5 linked regions of the Cricetulus griseus genome follow. The protein of the gene in region 5 binds, or shares a complex with, the protein of the main gene of each other region. Links are inferred from orthologs where the notes say so. Each region holds a gene or a part of one and is shown on either strand. Other genes may lie near its edges.

Region 1 (5,180 bases), on a different chromosome or scaffold from region 5:
GGACAGTACCCTAGAACCCGGGGGTGGGGGAGGGAGGGCGGGAGGCAAGAGGAAGCACCTGCGTGGGCACTGTAGTAACGAGGGGATGGACAAGGGGGCAGAGGCACCATGTGAGGGGTGCTGTGTGCTACAGCAGACACCCATCCTGCAGCCCAGCTCAGCCACCAACTTCCCTGCCTCCCACAGCACAGCACAGCACAGCACAGCACAGCACAGCACAGCACAGCACAGCACAGCACAGCACAGCACAGCACAGCACAGACAGGACAGGACCAGCAAGCAACCCTTACCATGTCTGTATAGATCTCGATTGCTCTCATCAGACAGTTAATGGCCTCTAGGGAGGAAAGAGAAGATGAGGATGGAGAGGTCATTACAGCAGATCCTGGAGACAGGAGGTAGCCTGTGCTCCCCAAGGGAGATGCCAGACACGCAGCTGCCTTGGCTTCAGGCCTCTTGGGCTCTCTCAGAGCAACCGGAAGGAGAGGATGGGAGCCCTAGGCCCCAGGCAACCTGAGCCATACTTCCAGCTTTCCAGTGGGATCAGGGCACAATGGCATCGCCAGACTCCCCCAGAGTTTGAATCAGACTACCACAGCCCTGCTGTCAAAGGGCAAACTGATGGATGGCCAGGCTGAACTGGGCAGAGGCTACCAAGCCCACCATCTGTCCTGGAGGCTCTACCTTGAGTAGGTCCTATCCTTGTGACTGCCCTGCCTGGCCTCTCTGGCAGAGAAGGATGGATGCCACGAGCACTAGGGCCCCTCCATGGGGGCTCTGCATCCCCAGTGCTGAAGAGCACTGTCCTTTCCTCAATGCCCTCAACCACACAGCAGGGACCCTGCTGGCTGCTCAAATAACAAGCTGTATCCAACACTAGGATGGCACCAGGCTACCTTTGTTGTACCATCTCTTCCAAGATTTTAAATTTGGGGAAGGCTTTTTTTTTGGACAAGTTATTTGGAGGAGAGAGGCGTGAGTGGGAGGCATTTTCTAGCAGATGGAAACGAGCTCTCAGTATCTTTTAACTACTTTAATGTATCTCAGGATGGGGGTTGGGGGAGGCACGGGGTTGAGGGTCCAGGTGGGCCAGAGGGCTTGTGCTGGGAAGGCTCCAGGACTGCCCCCGGGCTGAGAGTGGACTGGACTCTCTTGGGATGAGGATGCTAAGGCTACTTCTTGAGGAGACTTCGGTAGCCAAGGTCTGTTGGCATAGGCTCTATTGGTGGGACAGTCCCTGCCACGGCAGTGGGGGAGAAACATGGATTCACAGGGCCTAGTCCTCTTATGCTGGCCCCTTGCTCTGGGAACAGCTTGGAAAGTAGTAGGCTGCCAGCTGACACCCGGGCCTGCTCTTACCACAGGGCTTATCTGATGCCACAGGCCTCAGTGAAACCTTGAAGGTAAATAGTAGGGCCCTTGGTCTATTCCCACCCTCTTGTGCTCAGCCTGTCCAGAGCAGGTAGGGAGTTACAGAGCCCGGCTCACCTCCGCATCACCCTGAAGCCCCTGATCACATGCAGATCTAAGCAAGCACCGTCCACAACAAACTAGGGACAAACCACGAGCTCCAATGAGGCGGTGGGGATAGGTAGATAGGAAGCCAGACTGCTTCCCTGCCCGTGCACATTCACAGCTCATTTAGAGCTCCTGCTCTAAAAGGGTCACATTCCCAGGCCTCAGGCAAGCAGCTCAGGCGAGATTCCTAAAGAGCTGATGGACCAGACCCCAGGGCAGGGGATCTCACAGCTAGCTAAGGGAGGTCCTTCCTGAAGAAACTGGGGGTTCAAGCCTCCACTGGTCATCCAGTTGTTTCCCAGGGCACCCAGCCATGCAGGGAGGCTCTGGTGCCAGGGGCTGCCCCCTTCTGGATGCCAGGAATGAATTGCTGTGTACAGCTCACAGTAGGTGTGTGCTATCACTGAAGAGAGAACACAGCAGAGTGACGGCTAGGCTGAAGTGTAGTGGGGCAGCACAAGTCCCCACTGGGTTCCTTGGAGGAGGGGGAGTGATCTGCTCAGACCACCTGGGCATGTCCTCCCCTGCTTGGTCACTCTTCTCTGTGAGCCCTGACTGGCCCCGCAGAAGAGCTGTCAACCGTGCAAATGCACCCCCTTCCCCTCATATGTGGAACTGTGACTGGGCAGGGCAGCAAGGCAGCAGCGCTGGATGCCACGTGGCTGAGTCCCTAGCCCTTAACACCAGAAGCGCTCCCCTCACAACTGTGCTTTCCCCGTGAGGCAAGTCGGCCCCTCTCTACCTTCACTCACACCCTTGGCTGCAGCACCCTCAATACTTTCCCATCAGCTTGGACTTGCTGAGGCCGGGGCCCATGCCTGGGTCCCGAGAGAAAAAGGACATGACCACAAGCTGGGAGGGGCAGCTATGGCATCCTGCAGGTTGGCATCCACTGCCACCTAGGAACAAGTCCTCCCGGCCATTCCGGCTGGAGCAGCAGCTGAAGGGCACAGATGCCAGGCAGCATCTCCAGGCCAACCAGTTCCCCAGGGAGCAGAAGGGAAAGTGTGGGGACGGCTCTGTGGGGGAGAGGACTGCCCTGAGTCACTGGGTGTATCTAAGTCCTGGCTGAAAGGCCATCCGTCCCTCTCTGTTTGTCAGGCCTGAGCCACACATCATAGCTAAACAAACAGGAGTGACCAGTCAGCCCAGGGACAGAGTCACCACAGTCATCTCTCTAATTGGGAGTGGTCCTGTGACAATGACGGCTGACATCCACTGATGCTGGGGAGGACCGAGGTGCTTGTCTTCTCTTCTCCTCAGAGGTGGGCTTTCACCCAGACCCCAAGCCTCTCCTTTGGGAAAGAACAGTCACTTCTTTCCCACTCTCCTGAGAGAAACAGCCTGGATACTTTAAAGATTTATTTATGAGACACAGTCTCATGTAACCCAGGCTGGCCTCAAACTCACTATGTAGCCAAGAGCTAAGGATAGCTGAGTGTCTGATCTTCCTGTCCCTACTTCCCAAACTCTGGGACGACAGGCAGGCACTGCCATGACTAGCTTAGATGGCCAATTAAACAAACAAACAAACAAACAAACAAATACCTGTGCGTGCTGAAATTTAAAGTTAGTCATCTATGTAGCTCTAAGATTTTCAAAAAGAACCATTTTCAAAAAGAACCAAAAAGAACTGGGGACATGTACAACACATTTGCAGCACACAGAGGTCCAGGCTCCATTCCCAGCACCACAAAAATAAGTGAACAAAAATACCAAAAGCAAATTCCTCAGCCTGGAAATCTCAAGTCTGAGGTCCATGGGCTGTGCTTTGGCCTAACCAGGCTCCTATGTCATAGGCTCTGCTTTAAGGAACTGGGCTCTGGCAGCTCACTCCAGGCTTGCTCTCTCTGCTTCCTTCTGGTGTGCTGGGAAGGCAGGTCAGGCTGACTTCCGCTCTACCTGGTTCATCTGGGACTGCCCCCCTCCCTGCTCCCTGCTTCCTTCTGCATGCTAATTCTGACAACTGAACAGCTTTGCCTGGCTCCCTGGCAAGGAGTGGGCCTGAGATGGAACTCCCACTACCAAATGCTCGAAGCCCAGGAGGGGGTGAGGGCTGCACACCAGGGTGGGGGTGGGGGGTGGGGAGAGAGGGCAGGATGCCAATGTCAGCCAAGGACCAGCCAATTCTGAATTTGGGGCTTGTTTTGCTCCTGGCCTATCATGTGTCAACTACTGGAAAAACCCAGCTCTGTATAGACCCAAGGATGTGGGGACAGTGCTCAGCTGCTCTGCCAGCTGTGGCTCACAGAGGTTACCTTGTGGGTCGGCTTTCTTGAAAGCGTTGCCTGCGTCCACGAAGCAGGTAGCTGCATCATGCTTGCTCTGGAGCTGTAGGTGCAGCTGGGCAGCCTGGCAGAAAGCGTTCCCGGCAGCTGGAATAGAACAGATCGTCCCAGCTTCAATGCAGTTGCAGTCACTGCCCAGAGAGGCACATTAGGCTCACAATTAGAATACAGGTAGAGGCCAAGATCAGCCCACTCCAGCCCAAAAGCAGCCTGAACCCCTCACAGAGCTTCCTGGTGGTATGCACCTGGTAGAGTGAGGACGTCAGGAAGCAGCCTCGGGGGAAGCCTGAGCCCAGGGGCACAGAAACAGCCAGGTAAACACAGTGCCAAACCCATGTCCCCCCCCCCTCTGCCGGCACCTCCAGAGCCACCACTTCCACAGAGAGGAAGGAAAGACAGACAGAGAGCTGAGGGCTGCAAATACATGAGACATGACACCCAGGCTCTTGGGCTCTTTGAACAGGGAAGCCCAGAACCTGAACTAAAGGTGGGGATGGGGCGATTGGGGGGGGGGGAAGGGATGTGCTCTGGGAAGGCACAGGTGAGATCAACCCATGTGACACTTCCCACTTGCTCCCTTTCCTAGCCCATTTCTGTCCTCCACAACTCCCCAAAGCTCTCAGGTGCACCCCTGCTATGTCTGAGTCCTTGCTAGAAAGGGAAACAGGACGAGGACAGCAAGAGCCAGAGTCCGCGCAGACAGTGCTAATGCCCGAGGCAGCCATGGGCTCCACACCATTTTGCTCAGACCTCCCCTAGACTGGCTAAGGGGAGGCAGCAGGGTTTTCCCTGCTGTGGGTGGTGCTCCAATACCACCTCAGCTAAGGCACTACTTTGCATGCTCCTCCAGTCCCAGCTGAGTGGGAGCCTCCAAGCTATGGGAGGTCCCACCTGTCCACTCTCCTGAGCACAGCAGGACACACAAAGCCTGCAAAGGCTTTGCTCCACAGTTATCTGATGATTGTGATCACCTTGTGGGCCTAGGGACAAATGCCAGGCTAACCCTGTCAGATCATCAGTAACAGTAGCAGTAGTCATCATTGTTACAGTAGTGTTTTGGTTTTCTGAGGAAGGCTCTTTTTTATTGCAGAATGATCTCAAATTTCCAATGTAGCCTAGGAGGGACTTGAATCCTGACCCTCCTACCCCACCATCAGGAGTGCTGGGATACCAATGCTAGACTTCCATATTATTTCTAAGAACTCCAAATAGTTTGAGCAGGGGACAGACTTCTGTTTTGAACATGGGGAGGGACAGAAAAGCAACCTGTGGTTAAATAACCATCCCTGGAGTGCTGGACTTTGGGAACTGCACTCACAGGATGTGGCAATAACTGAGTCTACCTTGAAACTCTGCACCCCCCCCCCCAATGTC
Region 2 (5,822 bases), on a different chromosome or scaffold from region 5:
AAGACACATTTAATAGATCTGGTTCCAGGATACTTACAGCAGAGAGGTAAGAACAGCTCAACTGCCCACTCACTATGACTGGATAACAAATCATGGCTTATACAGATCATGAACCCTGTAAGAATGAAGTAGGGAACTGGGGGATGGTTCAGCAGTTCTCTTACAGAGAACCTGGGTCTGGGGCCCAGAACAGACACAGCAGCTGACAACCCTCTGCAGTGCCAGTTTCAAGGTTTTGATGCCCTCTTCTGGCGTCTGCAGGCACTGCACACACATAGTTTACAAAACACTCACACAGATGAAATAATAATACATCCTAAAAAAAAAAAAAAAAAAAAAAAAGTTCCTACCCCTGCCTTTGGTTCTGGGGTGGTGTTTGGCACTGGGCTGCAGCAGTCATGGTGACCTTACTTCAGCTTGTACATTACCACTAGGTTCCTATACTTGTCCCTGTGGGATTTTTCTTGGGATGCTATCTAGACAGAAGGGATGACGAAAAGCTAATGCCTTCTGGAGTAAGAGTATGAGCTTTCAAAGGGAACTGAGGCCCAGTGAAGAAGCTACTTAGAAGTAAAGCCTGTGGCTAAATCACAGGATATTCACATTTTTAAAGTTACTGGAGAAATAAAAACATTTGTTATTTAAAAAACAGAACATAGGCTTTATGCTCCCCAGGGAGGGTGAGGCCTTCCATAGGGGGTCTTTAGAGTCTGTCATATCCTTTGGGACAGGGCCTAGGACCTCTCCAGTGTGTCTAGGCTCAAGGAGTATCCCTCTATGTGGAATGGGCTCCCAAAGTCCATTCCTATACTAGGGATAAGTACTGATCTAGGGTGTTAGTGGGGGGGGGGGGCAGGGGAGAGGGGAAGGAAAGGGAACTGGGAGTGACATATAAAATAATCTTGTTTCTAATTTAAATAAAAAAATGGAGAAAAAAAAGAGAACACAGGAATATCAGTTGAAGGTTCTGACAGTCTTCACTGTGTTTCTACATGTGCACACCCAAACAAAAGATGCCAGAAGAGTCCTCTAGGTCAAGAATCCAGAGAGAACTACTGGGCTACAGAAGTTCCACTTTCTATGTGTCCTTCAGCAACTGCTAGAGAAAGCTCTACGGAGACTTGCCCATACTAGGTAACTAGTAAACCTGGCTACAGAACACAGACACAGACACATATCCCACCCGATCAGAAAGACTTGTTCCTGGCTTAAACAATCTGATTACCCTATCTTACGAAGTGGCTCTGGGGCTCTGGGGACATGCTTTCAGGGACAGGTTCACATGTTTTAGGTATGTGATTTGATAATAGAAAAGTGAAACCAGGAAGAGTTTGCCTTGTGCTTAAAACACAGCTTCTAGAACATGCAATCAAAACACTCATTCATATAAAAAAAAAGCTTAAAAAAAAGAATATGAAAAAAATATGGAAAACTGATCTGAATTTCTCACAGAATCTTCACTGAAGTCCTCTAAACACACAATTAGAAAGACTTCTGATGTAGTCAAAATTATACTCACACATTGATGTTTTTTCTTTTTCTAACATTAAAAATTGTTAAGGGTTTGTGTGTGCGCACGCACAGATGCACACAGGTGCCTTTGGAGGCCAGAGTTAAAGGCAGTTGAATGGCCCAAGTATGTACTTGGAACCCAAACTGGAGCCTCTGCTAGAACAGAAAGTGTTCTAACCACTGAGTCATCTCTCCAGCTCCAGTGGCTTTTTCTGATAGAATCCCACAGAATACCCGGGTTTGTTTAAATTCCACAGTTTAGAATTTTAGAGCAGTACCTCATCGACTTGATTTTGTGTCTGCTGGAGTCTTCGATTACTGCCAGCAGCAGCACTTGAACTTCCTGAAGGCACACCTGTGGACCTGAAAGATGTAAGGCACAAACATGAGTCTATTATGATATCCAATGCACTTACATAAGCCAGACTTGGTAAGGCAAATATGTAACCCCAGTGCTCCTTCAGTGAGAGGAGACATGACAGTTTTGGGCACTTGAGGGCCAGCTAGCCTGACACACACAGTACTGAACAAGAGACACTGTCTCAAATAAGGTGAGAGGCAAGGATCTCTGAAACTGTCCTCGAACATATACCATGGTGTGTGTGTGTGTATGTGTGTGTGTATAACCTGTTCACGCTGGGACTTGGACTTACTAATTCCTTATACTGAAATTAAAAAACAAAAGTAAAAACAGTCCTGCAGTAAGAAATAAAGGCACCAATGCAGTTTTTTTATGATCCCTCAATAATTCCCAAGACTGTTCCAGTGACCAAACTTTGAAACTTTTGTTGTGTCAATGAAGTGCATGATCCCAAGACTGGATAATACCTCTACTTTCTCTCTCTCTCTCTCTCTCTCTCTCTCTCTCTCTCTCTCTCTCTCTCTCTCTCTCTCTCTCTCTCTCTCTCTCTCTCTCTCTCTCTCTCTCTTTCAGCTTGCTTTAGGGCCTGCAGAGATGACTCAGAGGTTAAGCACACTGGCTGTCCTTCCAGAGGACCTGAGTTCAATTCCCAGCCACCACAAGGCAGCTCACAACCATCTGTAGTGAGATCTGGTGCCCTCTTGTGGCCTGCAGGGGCACATGCAGGTAACTGTATTTATGTAATAAAAACAAAACCCAAAAAACCAAAAACCTCTTAAAAGACACACAAACGTTTAAGGGCACTCAGTATTCTTCTGATCCTTTTGTTGTGGCAAGAACTGTCTTATAGTTGGAAACAATCACAAAATAGCCAAAATGGAGATGTAGAGCCCAAGTGCATGGTGGGGTGTGTGTGAATGGAAAGGCGGGCTGAAAGCAATTCTCTCTCTGCTGGAAAGCCATTCATCCTCCACAGGCTCACCGAATGCTTTATTCACCCATGCCCACTTTCCGTAACGACTCACTCTTCCCTGTATCTAAGCCAGCACCTAAGGTGTGCCTCGCCACACGACAGTCTGCACCGTGTCTGTCAGCAGGACGCGACACTTCTCACGGCTGTCTGGCTTCTCTCTGAGTCCGAACACCCCCTTGAAGAGGGCACTATTACCTTCACCTCGGTAACATTCAGAACCAGCACGCAGCCAGCCGGCTGGGGTGTAGCCAGGTGCAGCTTAATTCTCTGACCGGCTCTGGGGCCCTGCCATTCGCACAGCAGTCCGACCGGGTGCATCTTAAGCGGTGTCACCAGAGTCCTGCGAACGTCACCACTAGACACCAACTTCAAAACAACAGAGTTCCTTGCTTAAGGCGGAAGCGAAACCCACGGCCGAGCTCCGCGGGGGGCGCGGCAGCGCTTCCGCGGACACCGCCTGGGCCTGGGCACGGCGCGGCGCCGACAGAGACCGGGAGAGCGAGCGGGCGAGCCGGCGGGCGAGCGCCCAGGGCCGCCCCCGCCCCTCTCGGGGACCTCGGGGAAGGAAGCTCGGGGCGTGGCGGACGCTTCCTCTGGAAGCCGGTGCCCCACCCTCGCCCTTCCGCGTCGGCCCGCCAGCCGCGGAGCACTCGGGGACGTCGCGGCAGGACGCCTGGGCCCGCAGCGCCCGAGGGCAGAGCGCGGCGCCCGAGGGCAGAGCGCGGCGCGGGGCCGCCGCCCACCTCAGGCCCAGGGCGCTGCGCGCAGGCCCGCGAGGCCTCCACCCGAGTGCGAGTCCCGAGCGGCCGCGTCCCGGGCGGGACCCTCGTCAGACGTGGCGGCCGCCGCCCCCCGGAGCCCGCCTGGCCGCGCGGCGCAGCGCGTCACTCACATTTTGGCGGCGGCGGCGGCGGCGGCGGTGGAGACTGGCGGAGACCGGCGGAGACGGCGGAGACCGGCGGAGACCGGCGGCGGACTGGGGCAGCCGGCGGCCGAGGCCGTGGAGATGGGCGGGGCCGCGGTGACGTCACGAGCAGGGGCCGGGCAGGAACCGACGAGGAGCCCGCCGCCGCGGAGGGCGCGCCGGAAGTGGGCGGGGCAGGAGTCAGGCCCCAGGCGCCGCGCTCTGGCCGTCTCCTCCCTGGCCCACCCGAGTGGGCGGGGCCAGAGCTGGGCGCGGCAGCAGCGCCGGTGCTGGATTGGGCGGGCGTTCTCGATGGACAAGTGGGCGGGGCCAGGGCGCGGCGCCTGCGCCTTTGGACCGGCTCCTCGCCGCCCGGGCGTCGCAGCAGCAGCAGCAGCAGCAGCAGCTTCGTCGGTGTCGGGTGTCGCGGCCGCTGCCCTGTCTCTACCCTGGAAAGGCAGGTTAGAGTAAGAACCGGTGCGCTGCACAGCCCTCTGGGCCTGCTTACGTCGTCTCTGGGTGGTGACGACATTAGAAACGGCGTGCGTGCTAACGCCCCAGAGTAGCCTAGTGGTCCTGGGGACACAACCCAAGTGCCTCCGCCAGGAAGGTAAGTAAGGGGCGGGAGGAAGCCCGTTTGGAGCCCCCACCCCCGTGTTCTCACTAGCGGTGACAGGTGTCTGCCGTTGCACGGATACCACCATCCCTGAAGGGATCCTTGACGTTGAGAACTCTCTTGGTTTCTGTAACTCTCTGGCCCCGGACTTTTGGTCGAATGAGGTGAGTAGTATCCGCTACAATGCAATCCAACATGCTTAAGCAGACCAGATGAGGGCAGCTGGTGGGTTCCTAAGTGAAAACCCCCAAGCTGTCTTCCACTCCAGGATGGTAATTCCAGAAAGTTAACGTGTGCTGGAAAGCAGAGCGTGCCACCTGAGTGGGTATTGGGTTGAGTGGTAGCTGGGGCCGGGGGGTGGGGGGCGCGTTCTAGGTTAAGTGGAGGTGCAGCACAGAACTAGAGAATGTGGGGCTGGGCTCAAGTACAACAAGAGTGAAGACAGGCAAGACAAAGGCATTTAAATGCAGCGGGCTCCAGAAAGTACCAGGGACTCCTCTTGGGAGACTCAGTGTGAAAACGTCTGGCACTAGTTCTGAGGTACATCTAGTGAGGCACTCCTAGAGAGACGAGCAGAACTCTGCAGAGAAGAGGACCGGAATAATGATAAAGTACCTAGAAGGGAGACCTAAGTGAGCTAAGCCGGAAAAGGGCTTAAAACAAAAAAAAACGAAAAACAACTACTCGGTAGAGCTGAGGAGTATAGCCTAGTTGGTATTGGGCTTGTCCCACATGAAAGTCCTGGGTTTGATCCCCAGAACCACATAAAACCCAGCCTGAGGTGTATCTCGGCGAGTTCCCTGCCAGCCTGGTCTACAGATTGAGTTTCAGAACAGCCAGAGCTGTTACACAGAGAAACCTTGTCTGGAAAGAACAAACTAGCAAACAAACAAACAACCCCAGCCTGTTGGCACCCATAATCTCAGCATTTGGAAGTTGTAGGTAAACGGTCAGAGGTTCAAGGTCATCCTTGAGCTTAAACAGGGAACTTAGGAGTACCCAGGGTACACGAGAAAAGGTGAATTCACAGTAAGATCCTTACTTATCTTTCAAGTAACTGCACTTAAGACAAATGATTGATGTGTTGAGAAACCAGGCAGTGTAGGTGGAAAGCATGTCCTTTGGGAAAGTGGCTCTAAGTGAAACACTGGGCAGGAAAACACATCATGTGGAAGGTAAAAAAAAAACAAACAAAACTTCCAGTTCTAACTATGATCTCAACCTCAACACCCTGGATTTCAGGTCAGGTTAAAGCAAAACACAGATAATATGGGGAAATTTTCTTCATTTTTAATTTACAGCAGAAAGAATATAAAGCATTCAGAAAACATTTTCCATATTTTAAGGGCAATTCAAAACATTTTGCATGGTTTCCAGCAGCTGAGTTCTTCAACAGATCCATTGAGTCAATGATGCTTTACATGCACAGTTACAAAAATAAAACTTACAAAAAAAG
Region 3 (5,972 bases), on a different chromosome or scaffold from region 5:
CTGGAGAAAGGCCAGGATCCCCATCATCCAGCAAGTCCCATACACATATTGGCAGTGACTAATACCCCCGCCCTGAATACAGGGGGGCAGTCAAAGGAGCTGGGCAGTGATGGGGGCAACACCCCTCCCCAGATTGGGGAGGAAAGTTTTCAGTCCGACCTCTAGCAAGATGAGGCCAGAGGTTTCAGGCAGGAATTGGGGGGATTCTATTTTGTCCTACTCCTCCCCAAGGCAGTGATGACACACACACACTGGAGCCACCCCTCCTCAAAGAATCAGATTGTGGTCAATCCCCAATTCTCCTGGTGGGAGGAGGAGGCAAATCAGGCAGATGGGAGGGAGGGAGACCCCCTGGGAATGTCAGTTGAGTGCCCCACATGAAAACTGGGGAGCAGGAATGTAGGGAGAGACTCCGAGTGGCAGAATTATTGGTCCATCATGACACACTGAACTCCAAGACACTTACACACCGGCTGGGGGGAGGGAGAGGAGGGTACAACAGGTTTGGAAAATGGGGTAAAGGAGGTAAACTAGACTAGAGGGGCTGGGAGGGGGCAATTCTGGGGCCCAGAGCCTGGTTCCCCAAAAGCCCAGGCTCCCCACCACCTGCAGGTAATGTCGTGCAAATGAAGTGTGATTAGAGGACCAATGGAGACTAACTCTTCAGAAAAGAAAGGAAAAACAGAAGAGTAAAGAGTGGTGGAACAGAAAGGAAACTAAAAGGACATTATGCAAGTGATAAGCTAATTAATATATTGGAAGCTCCCAGAAAACCTTGGGATTCTGGGATTCTTAGGACCAAGTGGGACCAGTCTCAGAGCTTTCCAAGGGATTCAAAGATGCAACCTAGGGAAGCCTGGACAGGTAGGAGTGTTTGTTTGTTTCTGTGGAGTTTGCTTTTTGTCTTGGGAGGGTCAGGAATTGTTTAGGGAAGCTAGGGGAAGGGTCAGTTAAATCCAAGGGAAGAAAAGGGGCTATTGCATAGCAGATGCAAATGAAGGGACTTAGGGCTATCAGGAGAAGAGGAAAAGGGACAGAGGATGAGAGAGAGAGAGGTGAGGGGAACCTCAGGAAGGGGTGTTAAGGACAACCGGAAAAAATCTTCTAGTAATAAAACTACAAACAGACCAAATATATATAATATTATATATGTATAAATAACAGCTGGCTATTTACAGGGGGCACACACACGGACACACACACACACGGATCCAAGGGAGGGGGGCTGAAAGATATGGCTGAGAGGTGGAGGAACGGCTGGGGGTGGGAGAGAGGCCCTTCTTAGGCAGGGCAGACTCCTCAGGGATTTAAGTGCTGAAGTAAACTGTGGAGAGAGGGTAAGAGGAGGACGAGGGAGAGGGGTAGAAAGAGAAAGAAAGCAGCGTGTCAGGCCTGGCCCTGTTCCAAACCTCCCCACTCCCCCACTGTCTGACATCCCTTCCCCTCTCTGTCTCATTTCTTCATCTATATAGCAAAGGGACTTGATAAGTGGGTATTAAGATCCTGTAAACTCCATGATAGGACAAAGGGGCACAAAACTTTTAATCTACTGGGCATGTGACTACAAATGCTCAAATAGTGAAATAGTTGGTTTCCTGGTGGTGTCCGAGCCCCTCAACCCTTACTGTCTCCTGCTCCCCAGTTCTAGTAGCCCAGACTGGGCTCTGAGGCCCAAATGGTTCTTAGTAGAGTGCCGGGGGTCCCACCCAGTATTCCTATTTTCAAAATCTTAACAGAAATTATCCAGAACTAGGCAAAGTAAGGCTAGACAAGAGCCAAGTGCTTTGGCTCTTGATGAATCAGAATTGCCAATAGCAGCAAAATGTGTTTTTGTTGAAGAGTAAAAACTAGGTTAATGACCTTCAAAACCCAGAATCCACAGGGAAAGCCTCTACCTCTCCCGGGAAAGGGCCCTGGCCACTCCTGCCCCACTCACCGATGATGATGATGAGGATGATGGCGCAAATCACTCCCAAGATTATCATCATCTAGGAGTGAGAGGGAGGGTCCATGAGACCAATGGTGACACCCCAGTCACCCACTGGCCCTCCTACCTGTCCCCATCTCCGTCCCCCTTACCTTGAGGTTTTTCCACCAATATTTGCGCTTGAGCTTGGCTGCACTTGTTTCAAACTGGGAGGCCCCTGCCTGGAGGGCATCTGCACGATCATCCAGCTCGGACAGCTTCTGGTCCCGCTCCAGGACCTTGTCCACATTCACCCTCATGATGTCCACCACCTGGGGGAGGGGTCCACGAGGCAGGGGGTGTGCCAAGGCACGCCTCAAGGAGGGCACTTCTTGAACACGTGCCCATGTGCCACACATGGAACATGCACCCCGATGTTTCCAGGCTAACATGCCAAGGACATACAAAGAACATGCCTAGCACACCTGGGGACATGCAAGGAGCACACATCAGGGGCATGCTGCAGCCATACACCTCAGCTACCACAGCAACACCCTCATCTTTGACCAGAGCGCACCTGCCCCAGCTGGCACACCCCAAGCTAGCACAACTGATTATCACCCCACAGCCCTTCCAAGTGCATGCTGACAGGGAAACGGAGCTGGGACAAGGCAGGGCTCTGACCCAAAACCCACAAGCGTGAAAACTGTCATCACCTTCAAGCCAAGATGGGCTCCCACACCTATTTGCCAGTCCCATCATCTTACACTTTTGACACACTCACCTCATCCACCTGGGCCTGGGTCTGCTGCAGTCTCCTGTTACTGGTAAGATTTGGAGGGGGTGCAGGGGGGCCACCCTCGCCGGCCGGGGCGGCAGGCGGGACGGTGGCAGCGGTAGCCGACCTACGGAGGAGAAACGGATTAAGATTCAGGGCCTTTGGGCCCTGCGGCCGGGGCTCCACCCATCCACCTGTCCATCCATAGTCCCTCCAGTCCTCCCTTGCGGGAGGAAAGCCACCCGATGGGAAACCCAGCCATTCTACGGCCCCGCTGCGGTTGAGCTGCGTGACCTTGAGAGACCCTCCTTATGCCTCAATTTCCCCGCCGGTTAAAGGAAAGCGACCTCAGAGATGCTGCCCGGGGTCGACCCGAAATGACTGACAGCCATGGTGGCTGGGGCGGGGCGGGTAGACGCTGGGTCCGCTCCCTCCTGCGGCCATCGCCCGTGCCAGACCGCCCGGGACCGGTTCCGGGCGTCCAAGCGCAGTCACGGACACCAGCCCGGTCCGCGGCACGAGAGGCGCGGGCGGGACCCCCGTGTTTCCCGGCCCACTCCTCGGGGTGGCGGCCCGCGCGGGGCAGAAGGTAGAGGGTGGCGAGTGGCGGGCGGGCGGCCGACTTACATGGCGGGGGCAGCGGGCAGAGACTTGGCAGAGGCAGTGATGGCGGCGGCGGCGGCGGCGGCGGCGGCGCGCGGCGGCTCGCACTGGCTCCGACTGGCGCTGGCTGCCCGGGACTGGAAGATGGCGGCCGCACGTCACCCGCATCCGGGCACTGCGGCGGGGGCGGGGCGCGGCAGGCGACACGTCGCTAGCGGACCGCGGGGCGGGGCGCTGCAGGGGCTGGGGTCGTCTAGTCGGCTCTGTCGACCCTACGATGTGGGCCTGGCCCGCAAGCCCACCGCCATCCCCCAAGGCATCTGCCACCTGCCTCTTTTGGTACCCACAACCGAGACCCACACCTCACCCCTAAACTACACCCTCCCTCATCCCTGAAGCTGATACACCGGTCCTTACCTCACACAGCCTAAGGTCTCGCCCTACAACTGGTCCCAACACCTGGTGACCCGCCCTTAGCTCCTGGAAAGGGTGGATTTCCCTCAGAGTGGAAAATGAGAAGCGGCCAGGGCAATACTGACAACTGGAATCCTGACGCTGGGGTTGGGGAGTTGTGAGAACTGACCTCACCCATCATCATCACCCTGCAACTGAATGGCTCAAGGGAGGTCTCGGGCCTCTGATTTCCTAGCAGGGTATGAGCAAAAGGAGTAACAGAAGACAACCCCCCCGACCCCCCCCACACACACGCATACACACACACACACACACACACACACACACACACACACACACATGCACAAACATACACACACTAAGAACTGTGAAAGCTGCCCCTCCTCACAGATAAAGTTCAGACCAGGTGTCCTTGGAGGGGGCCCCACAAAGATGAGACAAACTAAAGACTCCAGGAAGGGCAAAGGCTGCCTGGAGGTGCTGTGCCTCCTGGTAAGCGCAGGCTGGTCCCCGACTGGGGTCAACTGCCCAGCCTTGACAGAACCAACTGAATACATCACACATGTAGACAGTCAATAAATATTTGCTCAATGGCTTGATCTAGACAATAGAATAGGAGATTATCTTAGACCTGGTCCATCCCTGACTGCTCCATTTTAAGTACGCTAAACAGCCACAGCAGCTGCACACACTCCCATCCTACATCTAGAGATAGGACCAGGGAGCCAGCTGTCTATTTAGCAAGCCTCCGGGGTGAAGGAGGCACTTTAGGGGAGGACTAGTGACTCTGAGGTGGGAGTATTTATTACATCCCCAAAAGAGCCTTAATCTCAAAGACAGGCAGGGTCTGGCGTCCTTCCTCCCACTCCAGGGCCTCCGGGGTGTGAGATCCTCCTGTGCTGCAGCAGTGCCCCACCCCCTCTCAGCAGCCGCCCCAGGACCGGTTGTGTCGTGAGAGGTGTTATTTCCCAGCTGTCTGGGGGAGGTGAATGAGCAGGGGAGTGTGTGCTGGGGCCGGATTCGCTCTTGGCTGCCTCCCTCTCCCAGGAGAAGCCATGAGCCTGCTCTTCGTGAGGCTGAGCTGGTGAGAAGAGCCGCTTCGGTGGGGGGGTCTCAGATCAGCCGTGAGGCTCTAGTTTTCTGTCCCTGAGACCCCCTTTCTAATCAGAGAACAAAGATGCCAAATTCCATTATTTCAAGTTTAAATGTTTTAGTGTCTAGATAGGAAACATCCTCGAGAGTGGGAAAAGAGCAACTGTAAGCAGAGCCCCCCACACAGCCCAGCTCTGCCTCGACTGGAAAGGAAACAGTAAGATCTCAGACTCTGGTTTAGGGACGATACTCATGTTGTCTAGCCAATTGCAAAGGGCAGAGGTTATGGAAGAGACAAGAGTCACAGACAAACCTGGGGAGGTTAGGCCTAGTCATATCCCTGGGAAAGTTGTTCTTCCCAGGGGATTCTGGGGACAGCAATAGCAGAGTTAACAGTGGAAAGGACCCAGTAGGACTCAGAGAGAGAACTGTCACTGTACAGCCCAGCCCAGCCCATCTCCACTGCGGTGTTAAGAAATTCTAAATTTAGATCAATGCTGGGGGTGGGAGGAGGCTGCGGTGGAACGACCCGGTTCACCTGGAAATGTGTAGAGAATGTTTTCTGCAAACAGTACGACTGAGACTCAGACTTGAGCCGAAGCACAGGCAGTATTTGGATAACGGAGAGCCTTAATCTCAAAGGGTCTCGTCTACATTTGCCTGCTTCAGGGGATTGACAGTTGAGTTGCTAGGCCCAGTTCTTGAAGCTCTTTTTATGCTTAGTGGTGCATGTTCATAACCCCTGCGCTTGACGGTAAAGTAGGAGAATTCAGAGTTTAAGATGGGTCTGCCAAATGAGATACTGTCTCAAAACAAGCGAAAGACTGGGGCTTGGAGAGATGATGGTTCAGTGGTTAAGCTGCCACGTGGTGGTGGTGGTGGCACATGCCTTTAACCCCAGAATTCCGAAGGCAGATCTCTCTGAGTTCAAGACCAGCCTGCCTCTGCCTCCCAAGTCCTGGGATTAAAGGCATGGACCAACACCGCCTGGCCCAAGGTTTACTCCTAAGAAGCTCCTTCAGGGTTCTGATGTAGGCCATACAGAGGTCACACTTTAATAAAAGCTTGCTTCCATTGTCATCCTCTTCACAGCGTTTTAAGTTGGGGCTGAAGGGGGCTGGATCATTCCCACACTGACTCATGAACTCCTTCCATCCTCATGAGTCAAACCTTGAGAAA
Region 4 (5,180 bases), on a different chromosome or scaffold from region 5:
GACTGGATCCTATCTCCCTTCACCATACACAACTCATTATTTCTGGCAATTGATGGCTAAGCTGGCTGAGTGTGTGGCAATATTGGTAATTACCGAGTATGATGAAGCTATTTAAGAGATCATGGGCAGTGGATGAGTCAGAAAGGGCCCCTGTCCAGGAGGGAAAGCACTCAGGTACCTTGTATTACAGTTTTTTTTTTTTTTTTAAATTCCAATCAAGGTTAGCTAATGAGATGGAATAAAAATTGCTCAAGTGTTACGATATTTTGTTTATGCTCTGACAAATAAAGCTTTCCTGGAGACTGGAGGGTGGAACTAGCCACTAGTTAACCATAGAGGTCTGGAGGTCTATAAGAGAGAAGACAGATGTGACAACACGGGACTGAGACAGGACGTGATAAGGTGGGGCATAGACAGAAGCTCTGCCCTTTTGATCTGAGGAATCAGAGTTGTAAGAGGTGATTGTGGTTGGTCCTTCTCTGATATTTCAGCTTTTACCCCACTATCTTGATATCTGACTTTGGGTTTTTTATTATTAAGACTAATTAGGATCATGACCCACTCAGGAATTATCTTATTATGCCAAGCCCATGAAGCCACACCTGCTAGTGTAGAGTTCTACCGTGTGTGTGTGTGTGTGTGTGTGTGTGTGTGTGTGTGTGTGTGTGTGTGTGTGTGATCAAGAGACAGACAAAATCCCACTGTACTGCTCCCCACTACACTTTGGGAGACTGAAAGGACTAACAAGCATCTCTACAAAAGCAACAGTAGTCACACGTTGTTCATTTCCATGGGCATCTGGCATAACAGAACAGAGCCCTAACTGGTGACTTAACTGAAGATTGTAACTAGGTAAATAAGGGGTGTGTTCATTACCTGATCTTTCATGGTCTTCCCTAAGTCTTTGACGTCTTTCATGTTAATGGCATTCTTCCCTCCCTTTTCCTTTCCCTTCTTCTTGTTTTTCTTTTTGAACAAACATTTCTTACAGACACAAAAGCAGCAGGTCACGACTAATAGGACTGCAACTATGGCTATGGCAATTAAGGCCCACGGTGGCACTGAAAGAGAAAAGATAAAAGAACATTAGCAATAGAACTGGTTAACCCAATGCAGCAGACAACCATCCCTATGGTTGGATGTCCTCCGTGCTTTGTTCCATGGGTTTTATCGCCTCTGTGGCCTGTGCCTGGACTGTTGTACCTCTGTCTACATCACATATCACCTCTCCCTTGCGCACTAAGTTAATTTTCCATTAATTCATTTTTTCCTTTATGCAGAGCATAACTCTCCAGCCAGTTTTCTGAGTGCGAACACTGGTCTCATCCTTTACTAGCTCTGTTATCTTCGGCAAATCCTCTCTTTGTCTATTTCTTTATCTGTTCAGTAGAGGTAAAAGTGGTAAGTACCTTAGTGAGTCTTGTGAGAATTAAGTACTAAGATGCATTGACCAGCATGATACAAGCTTAATTCATGTCAACTGTAATTATTCATCAAGCAAATACTAGCTGCTATTTTAATATGTTGTGGCATGGTAGAAGGGGCAGAAGTTAATCACACAAACAGAAAAACCAAATGTAAAAAGTATAACCATAGGCAAGGAATGAGTATTTGGTGCCTTGAGAGTAGTTCATGGAGAGATGTATAGGGCTTGGCTAGGTAGAGGTTACGTGACTGCCCTGATTGCTTACTGATCTCTTCTGATTTCTTCTCTAGCAAGTTAAGAATATAGTAGCACCCATTTCCTTTGGCTGATTAAAGTCAACAGACTAAAATAGCTTACAATGGCATCCAGCACACAGTAGGAACTCAAGTACTGGTAGCTATCATTTCTTTATATTCAAGGTGTAGGATTCAGTGATGTCAAGAAACTTTAGGCAAGATGAAATATACAAAGAGGGATATCAAAAGAAAGATAGACACTATGAACAGTGCTCAGTGAGAACACACAGGGGATGGAGAGGAGAAAGTGATAAGTTCTAGATAATAGAAGAGGTTGATTTAAAGGCTCTGTTTAATGTAACAAAGTATATACCAAAAAATACACACAAGGAGTTTTCTATTATAGTTGTCCAACTGCTAGGAGCTAAAATATTTCCTTACTTAGCATCCAACTGGCTGATAAAAAGCTAGGTTTCATGGGCATATCTGAGCTCTAACTTTGTCTGGAATGGAATTATTCATGATTCAAATAACAGCTCTTCAAATTCATCAGAAGTAATTAGATTTATCTGTTATAATAAGAAAAAGACATTGGGCACTGAAATAGTAAGAAAAAGCATAATTTTCCTTGAGCCGCATAAACATCATTAGTGCCAATGATTGTTGAACACAAGTCAGGAGTACTCTGGTAAAGTAAAAACACTTAAAACTAACCTCTCTTCAAAACAGAAAACCCACTCTTGCATGCTCTCTCTTCATCTAGCTTTGTAGTGAAGAACATTCACTTTGCATATTATTGAATATTAGATAATAACCCAGGACATATAAATTTACCACATTTGATACCATGTTTATAGCCACAGAAATACTTGTGTGAACAGTAGAGATGAGTACATATCCTAAGACATGTTTTCCTAGTCTTCTTTAACCTACTTGAACAGTCCATGCTTTTTTTAAAAAAGCCAAAGCCACTGCAAGCGTATGTAACCAATGATATTATTTGTAAGACTTCACTCAGACACTTCTGTCTCTGACGACTGAGTTAAAATCCTGCCATGCATGAATGGGAGGCCATTTGCGAATGCAGGAAGACAATGTTAATAATGGGCCTTCATTGGAAATCTCATAAATTATTCTCCCAGTCGGACTTTTGTGATAGTCTCTCAGAGAGCTACATAAAGGCCTTGTAAATTACAAAAGATAAGACTGAGATGATTTGACAAGTTCACACAAAGAAAATAGTTGGTAAGAGCAGAGGAACATTATTTAATCAAAAAAAAAGTTAAAGAGAGGAACATGGGGTCACAGGAAGGAGTCTGAAAGAGTGCAACTAGAGGGTAATTTCAAACCACTGAAAAAGTTTCAGTATGCAACCTTCGTATCTTCAACATTAACGACTGCTGTATTTGCTTTTAGTTGATCTAATGTGAAGATTAATTTGAGCACATATAATATTTGAATATTGTAATCTATAATATAATTACTAATTATAATAAGGCATTATTGACTGCTGTATTTGCTTTTAGTTGATCTAAGTGAAGATTAACATATATAATATTGAATAATATAATATATAATTACTGAAATATAATTACTAGAATTTTCCTCAAATTTCCTACCACCTTTAGATAGACATAGAAAAAAAACCTTACTCTAGGAGCCGGGCATTGGTGGCGTGCGCCTTTAATCCCAGCACTTGGGAGGCAGAGGCAGGTGGATCTCTGTGAGTTCGAGGCCAGCCTGGTCTCCAGAGCGTGTGCCAGGATAGGCTCCAAAGCTACACAGAGAAACCCTGTCTCGAAAAACCAAAAAAAAGCCAAAAAAACAAAAACAAAAAACCTTACTCTAGCTATTTTGTACATCCGTGGAAGAGGCAATACTAATGCAAAGGTATATCTATTTTTAATAAATGGATTTGAATATAATGTTCACATTAAATTTTACTATTGAATAGAGAAGTGCAATATTTTAAATTTAGCAAGTTTACCTAAGAAACACTATCCTCAGAATTCACTCAGTTCATTGTTGGTATAATGAGCAAATCTCATGGAACATATTTTGGATTATTAAAAAATCTGCTTATTATGGTCCAACCACTGTGCTATGACTTTATCCACATTATTTCTTTTAATCTTTATAACAATTTTATTCATTACCACTTCAATGTTACATAGAAAAACTCAACAGATTTATATCCTGAGAAATTTAAATGTCTTCAAGTTGTTCAGTTAAAACTGTGTAAATTAAAAAAAGGATACAAAGGAAAAAGTCATGTTTGGTTTTGAGGCCTTTTTAATAGGACATTTTAAAAGAAAAAATCCAATAAAGCAAATAAACAATTGTCTAAAGTGTGGCCAGGAGCAATTTCCTTGGTATAAATACACTTCCATCAAAACACTGCTGTTGGCACAGTGTTCAGTGGCTGCTTATCTCTACCAACTACCAACAAAAGAAATTTCAAATCAGAATTTTAACATTTAATTCAATGGCTTCCGGCAGAAAAATAATACACAAGCATGAAAACTCTGTGGATATTATTTTTAATTTTCTAGTTAATGAATTAGTTTTTCCTGTGTTAAAGGTAAAAGGATACATAAGAATTAAGCTAAAGAAAAACTTTTAATGATAGTTTGAGTTAGTCCTGGGCAGGCAGAAAAAAGTCCCTGAGTGCTTTGAGCAGCTTGGTTCTTGGAAGCTGTGAACAGGTTAAGGACATTGGAACGGCCCTGCTCATTTCACCACTATGTGTTTCTAAGGTGTGTTATTTTTGGAATGTTATTCTTTCTTCTTTTTAGTTATCTAATATTTACTTCTCAGACTTATCACAAATATTAGCATTGATAGATTTTTAAATAAAATAAATAAAATTACTAGGTGCATTTGTTAAATTCCATTGGGACTATTGACTGTGTGAGGTAATTGACTGTGTGACTGTATATTGGGTGGTATAGTAAACTGGCATAAACACATTGAAAAGAATTAGTACTTTAAATCTGTATATACTTGGATACCATTTTAATATATCCCTTCCCTATGCATGAAACATACTTTCTACTGATTTAAAACTTAGGTTTTTGTAGAGTATTTGTGATGTGAACCTTGATATTGACATAGACACAATGAAAATACTAGTTAACATTTTGAAACAAAATTGCAGTATTAGATCTGTTATTGGAAAATAAAAAAGAACTATTCCCCTCCCCAAGAAAGGTTACTCTTCCATGAAGGTAGGTATAAACTGAATAGTGAAATATATCATTATGTAATCAAACACATTTGTGGGTACCTATTATGTGCAGGATCTTCTCAAGATTGGGTTATAAATTTAGCATGATGTGTCTAATGATGCATGTTTATTTTTTCACTTTCTAGTGTTATAAAGTAGATGTCATTTGCTTTATTTAAGTGAAGGTAATTTCTGATTTTGCTAAACTCAGCCCCAAGAACATAACATGATGCATTTTAAGAAGGAATTAAGAAGGCTTAATAGGCTCTTGTCTATAAATTTAGGCTGTCTG
Region 5 (5,180 bases):
AGGGATAAGGCTTCCGAAATCTTGTCAGAGTCATGATTTTTGCAAAAACAAAGTATATATTCCTTGCTTTCTAACTGAAGAGAAATGCATCAGGAATGTGCATTGCTGCCAGTGTTTGTGCCCTGTGGTGAATTTGCCCTTTGAGCCCAGGTACCTCCTTAAATTCATCCTAACACAGCACTCTTTATGCTATCAGCAATTCTTTGATTTGAACCAACATCCTTCTTTCTATCTGTATGCATGATGGTTCTTCATTTAATGACACGTTGATAAAAGCATGAACCGTGTCAACCAAGACATATAGGACATATAGGAGGCCAAGAAAAAATTTAAAGGTTTCAATAAAACACTGTGTCCTTTCCATTCCACCCTAGTCCTCTCACTCAGGTATTACATTTGATTCACCAACTGGTTTATTACGTTCTTAAAAGGAAACTGGAGTTAGGTCATTAGTTTAAAAAAAAATCAAGCTTGGCATGGTTGTTCTTACAATCGTGGACTTAGGATGCTGGGATCCATAGGAAAATCCTGTGTCAAAAAGTCAAACAAGCCAGGAAGAGAAGAAGGCAGCAGAATGGAAAGTTCCCTCAAATATGAGGAAGACGGGAGGAAAGTCTTCTTGCATGTAAAGATTTCCAGGACATTCCTGTCTCTGTGCACTCAACAGAAGAATGGCACCACTGTCTCTCCATGCTGAATAAACACTGCAGTGTTTCTATCAGTTTCTGAAAAACATAGCAGAAGCAGCAGAGACCTAATCAGTGACCATTTCTTCTTTAGTCCTGCCAAAGAGAGCAAACATAATCTTTTATTATCCAGATTTGTGCTTTCCCTACTTGAGTCACTGGTGAGCCTCGTTTAGATCTTACAGTGACAGTTTTCACATCATACACTTATGTGAAATGGTTTTCAGGTGATTGTGTAGGCCTTTAGGCTAGAAATGTGCTCATGAGTTTTACCCTAGGCATGTATGCCTTTACTTCTAGAGGCACAATCATCAATGCATGCATGAAAATACAGACAAAAGGAGGAGCAGGATGTAACTGGGCATTATAATTAGACAGCCAAGACATCATATTACACTTCTCCTTTAATGGTCTTAAAAGCTACTTGACAAATCCCCTTCATTAAACTTGCAGTTACCCTAACTTGATGACACATTTGAGAAATTAGTCAATTTGGTTTATGTAACCCTGGCAACCAAGAACTGATTCATTTTTATGAGTATCGAGCTGTGTTTCAGATGCACTAAACTCATCTTTCCTTGTAGCAATGGCTCAGTGCCATTCTGTGTGCCAATTCACTGCCCCTCCTCCAAAGAGACACACGTTCTCCTTGTTCAATGACCAGGTTAGTAGTTGGCAGGTCCACACCATAGACACTAGGCAGCCAGAGCAGAAGAATAAAATGTCTTTCCCAGCTTTTGCAGCAAGTCACTCACAGGGTAAGAAATGAATTGAAATGTTTTGGTACTTACAGTATTGTTGTTCTGATGTTGCCTTCTTTTCCAGCCTCTATGAATTAAATAAGGAAAACCAAGAACACACCTTTGGCTACTTCTAGCTGTACAGCCACTGCCGAGGGAAGAGCAGAAACTCATAACCATGTCTATTCCTGCTTACGGTTCTGTTGTTTGCCACCAAGAAGAAAACACACTCTATTTTCTCCTTTTATCTGGTTGGGGGCACATAACAGTCAAAAGATACAGATATTTTGAAATTGGAGCAGATAATCTTTCTCAAAGTGTTGAATGGGAGCACCTTAGCTATAAATTAACACCCTGTTTTTCTTTCTCTTGGGTTTCACTGGTGTCTTAGTCAATACACTGCAACTTCCCTGGATATACAAAATCAAACAGACTTTCTGATCTCATCCCATCATGTCTGAACTGCAAACTATTTTGAGCATTGTTCTTGTTCATTTCCTTCCACCCATGTCTATTTAGGACAGCAGCAGCCGTCTACAGCAATGCATCCTCTTGGGCAATGCATTGTAATCTCAATCTCTCTCTCTCTCTCTCTCTCTCTCTCTCTCTCTCTCTCTCTCTCTCTCTGTCTCTCTCTCTGTCTCTCTCTCTGTCTCTCTCTCTCCTTCTCCCCCTCTCTCCCTCTCTCTCTTTCTCTCTAATTCTGTTTCACATAGTCATTTCTCATGTTCTGTTGGAAACCCCAAAAAAATTCATTCCACACTATCATCCCTTTGTCCTAACCAGAACAACTCGATCGTGTCGAAGAAGGCATGAACCATATCAACCAAGACATGAAGGAGGCTGAGAAAAATTTAAAAGATTTAGGGAAATGCTGTGGCCTTTTCATATGTCCTTGTAACAAGTAGGTACTGGGTACCAGCTCTAATCTGTGGCGTCCAGTTTTCTTTCTTTCTTTCTTTTTCTTTTCTTTTTTGTTTTTCTTTTTAATGTCAAAGTGAATGTCTGAAGTTTTGTCTTTTTTTTCTTTGTCCTTTTCCATCTGCTTCATTCTGTGGGGATAAAATACTTGTGTTTAATCAGAACAACTGGAACGCATTGAGGAAGGGATGGACCAAATCAATAAGGACATGAAAGAAGCAGAAAAGAATTTGACGGACCTAGGAAAATTCTGCGGGCTTTGTGTGTGTCCCTGTAACAAGTAGGTGCTGCCTGCCTGCCTGAAGCTTTGGTTTTCCCAAGGCTCATCTCCAAGCCTTGACTAGCTCATTCCTGCAGGCTCATAGGCAGGATGAGCATGTGGCATGCAGAACAGATCAATACCGTCTCCAATGCATTCATCTCATAGCATAGATAATACTAGTGGGAATTACTGTTGATGCATTAAAAATCAGGCATACTACAGTGGAAGCCTCACTGTCGGCAATTTTTATTGATGAACGTTTCAACATTTTCCAGAAAGTGTACTTTGAGACAGAGGCACTTGGGGCACATTGTTTTCCTCAATCCCACAATGAAAATTGTAGATTTAGACAAGTCTTTTGGTAAGTGTGGAGGATTAGAAATGCATGTATCAAGGTTTCATTTTTTTTCCTTTCTCGGAAGTAAAAGAGACAGGCTAATTTGGCCCAGGTAAGCCTCTGCAAGTCAGAGCATGTGGCAGATTCCCTCTTGACTGCTCACCAGCTTCAGCACTTGGTCACGAGGTGCTATAGCCTCACCCAGTGCAAAGGCATCCTCATCTGTAAGAAGCAGCAGTCCCATCCTAAATTGGACCCATCTCCTCTAACTCTTCCTCTTGGAAGATCTGCCCGTACACTGGCTGAAATGTTGAAATGTGTAGATTTTGCATGCACGACATCTCCAAACATTTAACTGTTCTCAAGGTTCTGCAACGCTTTTTTGGAATGTAGCAGAAATGTGACATGTGGTTACAAAGATTTGCAACAGAAAGAACCCAAAAACTCAAGGGTTCTAGAAGATAGTCTCATTTGGCTGGCTAGCAGTGGGGGGAAAATGCATGAGTGGATTGCCCAACATGCATTTGGAAAATTAAACTCATTACCTGATCTCCCTCACCCTTCCCCCTTTCCCTTTTAAAAGAAGCCTTTTACCCAAAAGCTCTCCTGATCCTAGCTTTTAGAATAGAAATTGATGTCATTTTGAGTAGATTATGTGACCATTCACATCCTTTAAACTTTGAGGCTGATTTGAAATATCCCACTTCCTGTTTAGGAGGGGGAGGGGCTCATGGTACTAATAAATAAAAACCAAGTTAAAAAAAATCAAAAAGAGTGCTCTACGGTAAAGCCTGGCTAACTGGAATCCAGCTAACTGGAACCCTCAGCTGCAAAACACTTTTGCCCCCTTTCTGTTTTTAGCCAAAGAAAAGTGGGACGGGGAAGGGAGGGCAGTCAGAGCAGGTTTGAAATGTCTTGTTTTCCAGGACATCTAGCTCATTTGCAGTGTCTCAAGCAGTCTCTATTCTACTATCTCTACCTATGGAGAAATAAATAAGTGGTAAATTAGAGCTGGTTTGAAAAGGCCATCAGATATATCAATATAAGGCATAACTGTAGGAGGACTGGATTGTGCCCATACCCAAAGACTCTGAACAGAAAATTTGCTTAAGAATTTGAGAAAGATATTTACTAGTTACCCTTGAAACATAATTTTCCTCCAGAGTCTACTGTTCACTGGTAAAACCATAAAATTCTCCAAACTCTCACTCATGGGCAAGTATTCCAGTTAGTCAAGATTTGACTGTAAGCCCTTTTCAGAGCCAACTTACCCCACATTTGGAGCAAATGGCAACAGATGCACCTCCCACCCCCTCCATCAATTGTGTGTGAAGAAAGGGTGAAGGCAGGGCTCCTTGAGGTGGATCCTCAGGTTCTGAAGAAGTATGACCCCTACTAAATCCATGTATAAGTGGTCCCCAATTCCTTAATTCTAAAGAGACCCTAATTGAGCTTCAAAGCTTGAGTGAAGTGTTCCCTGATGTGTGTAAATAATGCTTTAAAAACCATGTGTCACAACGCAGTGGCTGGTGGTGCCCTGGACTCTCCGGGGGCTTTGCCCTGTCTCGGCATGTTTCGAAGGACTATGGTAGATGTACGGCCGTGATGTGAGTGTGTGCAGCGTTGTGGGTGCAGTGGTTTGCCTTCTCTTTGGAAACGCATATTTCCCTTTCCTTTGACTTTGCCAAAGATGGTATACCAGACATTTTACATAGCAGAAAACATCACAAAGTCCAAACAGCTTCTTATAACCAAAAAGAGAGAGAATGGGGAGGTGGGGTGGAGAGACCAACTCTCTTAACTATGAAAATTTGTGTTCTGGCCTTGTACCATTCATGGAGTGGGCCCATGCCCTGTGATGCAGTAAGTTGTGACAGTAAATTGTGGGAGCTGTTGAAATTCATTGGTGCATTTCCCAGTTTGTCACCATGGTTTCCTTGTCTCAGTCTACAAGGATTAAAGCCAGTTTAAAAGATGGCTTTGGCCCTCTAGTGAGAGAAAGAAGCGGGGGAAGGGATTAAATCTTGGTGTCTTAGAATAAAAACTGTGAAATGGAACCAAAGGATGTATGTTGTTCTTGGACTCAATAGCATGTGGTTTCTACTATGCAAAGAACCTAGAAACATCTTTGATTGCCTTAAATTACAACACACCCACCAAAATATGCTCTATATGTTTCTATTGGGCACAACAGGTATGCCTGGATTTTAAGTTTTGTTCCAAGGCAGGTCAGT

Evidence for each region.
Region 1: the proteins of Snap25 (region 5) and Napa are in contact, whole or in part, in a cryo-EM structure (PDB 6MDM), measured with the Rattus norvegicus proteins. The link is inferred for Cricetulus griseus from reciprocal best matches to the Homo sapiens genes SNAP25 and NAPA. Residues at the interface, in NP_112253.1 of Rattus norvegicus: Glu37, Lys40, Asp41, Ile44, Arg45, Leu47, Asp51, Glu52, Glu55, Gln56, Arg59, Glu62, Gln152, Asn159, Met163, Asp166, Glu170, Thr173; in NP_542152.1 of Rattus norvegicus: Lys122, Glu155, Glu156, Ser157, Asn158, Ser159, Ser160, Asn162, Pro196, Leu197, Leu198, Tyr200, Ser201, Lys203, Asp204, Ala234, Phe235, Ser236, Arg239, Ser268, Ile269, Ser270.
Region 2: the proteins of Snap25 (region 5) and Vamp3 are in contact, whole or in part, in a crystal structure (PDB 5KJ8), measured with the Rattus norvegicus proteins. The link is inferred for Cricetulus griseus from reciprocal best matches to the Homo sapiens genes SNAP25 and VAMP3. Residues at the interface, in NP_112253.1 of Rattus norvegicus: Asp147, Leu150, Glu151, Val153, Ser154, Ile157, Leu160, Arg161, Ala164, Leu165, Met167, Gly168, Ile171, Asp172, Gln174, Asn175, Ile178, Asp179, Ile181, Met182, Ala185, Asp186, Asn188, Lys189, Ile192, Ala195, Asn196, Ala199, Thr200, Met202; in NP_476438.1 of Rattus norvegicus: Ser15, Arg18, Leu19, Gln21, Thr22, Gln25, Val26, Glu28, Val29, Ile32, Met33, Asn36, Lys39, Val40, Glu42, Arg43, Lys46, Leu47, Glu49, Leu50, Arg53, Ala56, Leu57, Gly60, Ala61, Gln63, Phe64, Ser67, Leu71, Lys74.
Region 3: the proteins of Snap25 (region 5) and Vamp2 are in contact, whole or in part, in a crystal structure (PDB 1SFC), measured with the Rattus norvegicus proteins. The link is inferred for Cricetulus griseus from reciprocal best matches to the Homo sapiens genes SNAP25 and VAMP2. Residues at the interface, in NP_112253.1 of Rattus norvegicus: Gly131, Gly132, Phe133, Ile134, Arg135, Arg136, Asn139, Leu150, Glu151, Ser154, Ile157, Gly158, Leu160, Arg161, Ala164, Leu165, Met167, Gly168, Ile171, Asp172, Gln174, Asn175, Ile178, Asp179, Ile181, Met182, Ala185, Asp186, Asn188, Lys189; in NP_036795.1 of Rattus norvegicus: Asn25, Thr27, Ser28, Asn29, Arg30, Arg31, Leu32, Thr35, Gln38, Val39, Glu41, Val42, Ile45, Met46, Asn49, Lys52, Val53, Glu55, Arg56, Lys59, Leu60, Glu62, Leu63, Arg66, Ala69, Leu70, Gly73, Ala74, Gln76, Phe77.
Region 4: the proteins of Snap25 (region 5) and Syt1 are in contact, whole or in part, in a crystal structure (PDB 5KJ8), measured with the Rattus norvegicus proteins. The link is inferred for Cricetulus griseus from reciprocal best matches to the Homo sapiens genes SNAP25 and SYT1. Residues at the interface, in NP_112253.1 of Rattus norvegicus: Lys40, Asp41, Ile44, Leu47, Val48, Asp51, Glu52, Glu55, Gln56, Arg59; in NP_001028852.2 of Rattus norvegicus: Cys277, Arg281, Lys288, Val292, Leu294, Glu295, Asn336, Tyr338, Asn340, Arg398, Arg399, Pro400, Ala402, Trp404.

What each region holds. Positions count from the first base shown.
Region 1 is NC_048602.1:10,771,792-10,776,971, reverse strand, and holds part of Napa (alpha-soluble NSF attachment protein), read right to left. Parts: intron 3,894-5,180; coding exon 3,777-3,893; intron 338-3,776; coding exon 291-337; intron 1-290. UniProt on the Homo sapiens protein: Required for vesicular transport between the endoplasmic reticulum and the Golgi apparatus. Together with GNA12 promotes CDH5 localization to plasma membrane.
Region 2 is NC_048595.1:5,345,793-5,351,614, reverse strand, and holds the start of Vamp3 (vesicle-associated membrane protein 3), read right to left. Parts: upstream 3,934-5,822; 5' UTR 3,741-3,933; coding exon 3,739-3,740; intron 1,876-3,738; coding exon 1,791-1,875; intron 1-1,790. UniProt on the Homo sapiens protein: SNARE involved in vesicular transport from the late endosomes to the trans-Golgi network.
Region 3 is NC_048600.1:82,959,156-82,965,127, reverse strand, and holds the start of Vamp2 (vesicle-associated membrane protein 2), read right to left. Parts: upstream 3,457-5,972; 5' UTR 3,314-3,456; coding exon 3,312-3,313; intron 2,812-3,311; coding exon 2,691-2,811; intron 2,239-2,690; coding exon 2,080-2,238; intron 1,989-2,079; coding exon 1,937-1,988; intron 1,325-1,936; coding exon 1,308-1,324; 3' UTR 474-1,307; coding exon of another isoform or gene 463-473; 3' UTR 1-462. UniProt on the Homo sapiens protein: Involved in the targeting and/or fusion of transport vesicles to their target membrane. Major SNARE protein of synaptic vesicles which mediates fusion of synaptic vesicles to release neurotransmitters.
Region 4 is NW_023276806.1:146,592,993-146,598,172, reverse strand, and holds part of Syt1 (synaptotagmin-1), read right to left. Parts: intron 1,062-5,180; coding exon 877-1,061; intron 1-876. UniProt on the Homo sapiens protein: Calcium sensor that participates in triggering neurotransmitter release at the synapse. May have a regulatory role in the membrane interactions during trafficking of synaptic vesicles at the active zone of the synapse.
Region 5 is NC_048599.1:41,889,651-41,894,830, reverse strand, and holds part of Snap25 (synaptosomal-associated protein 25), read left to right. Parts: intron 1-2,212; coding exon 2,213-2,330; intron 2,331-2,509; coding exon of another isoform or gene 2,510-2,627; intron 2,628-5,180.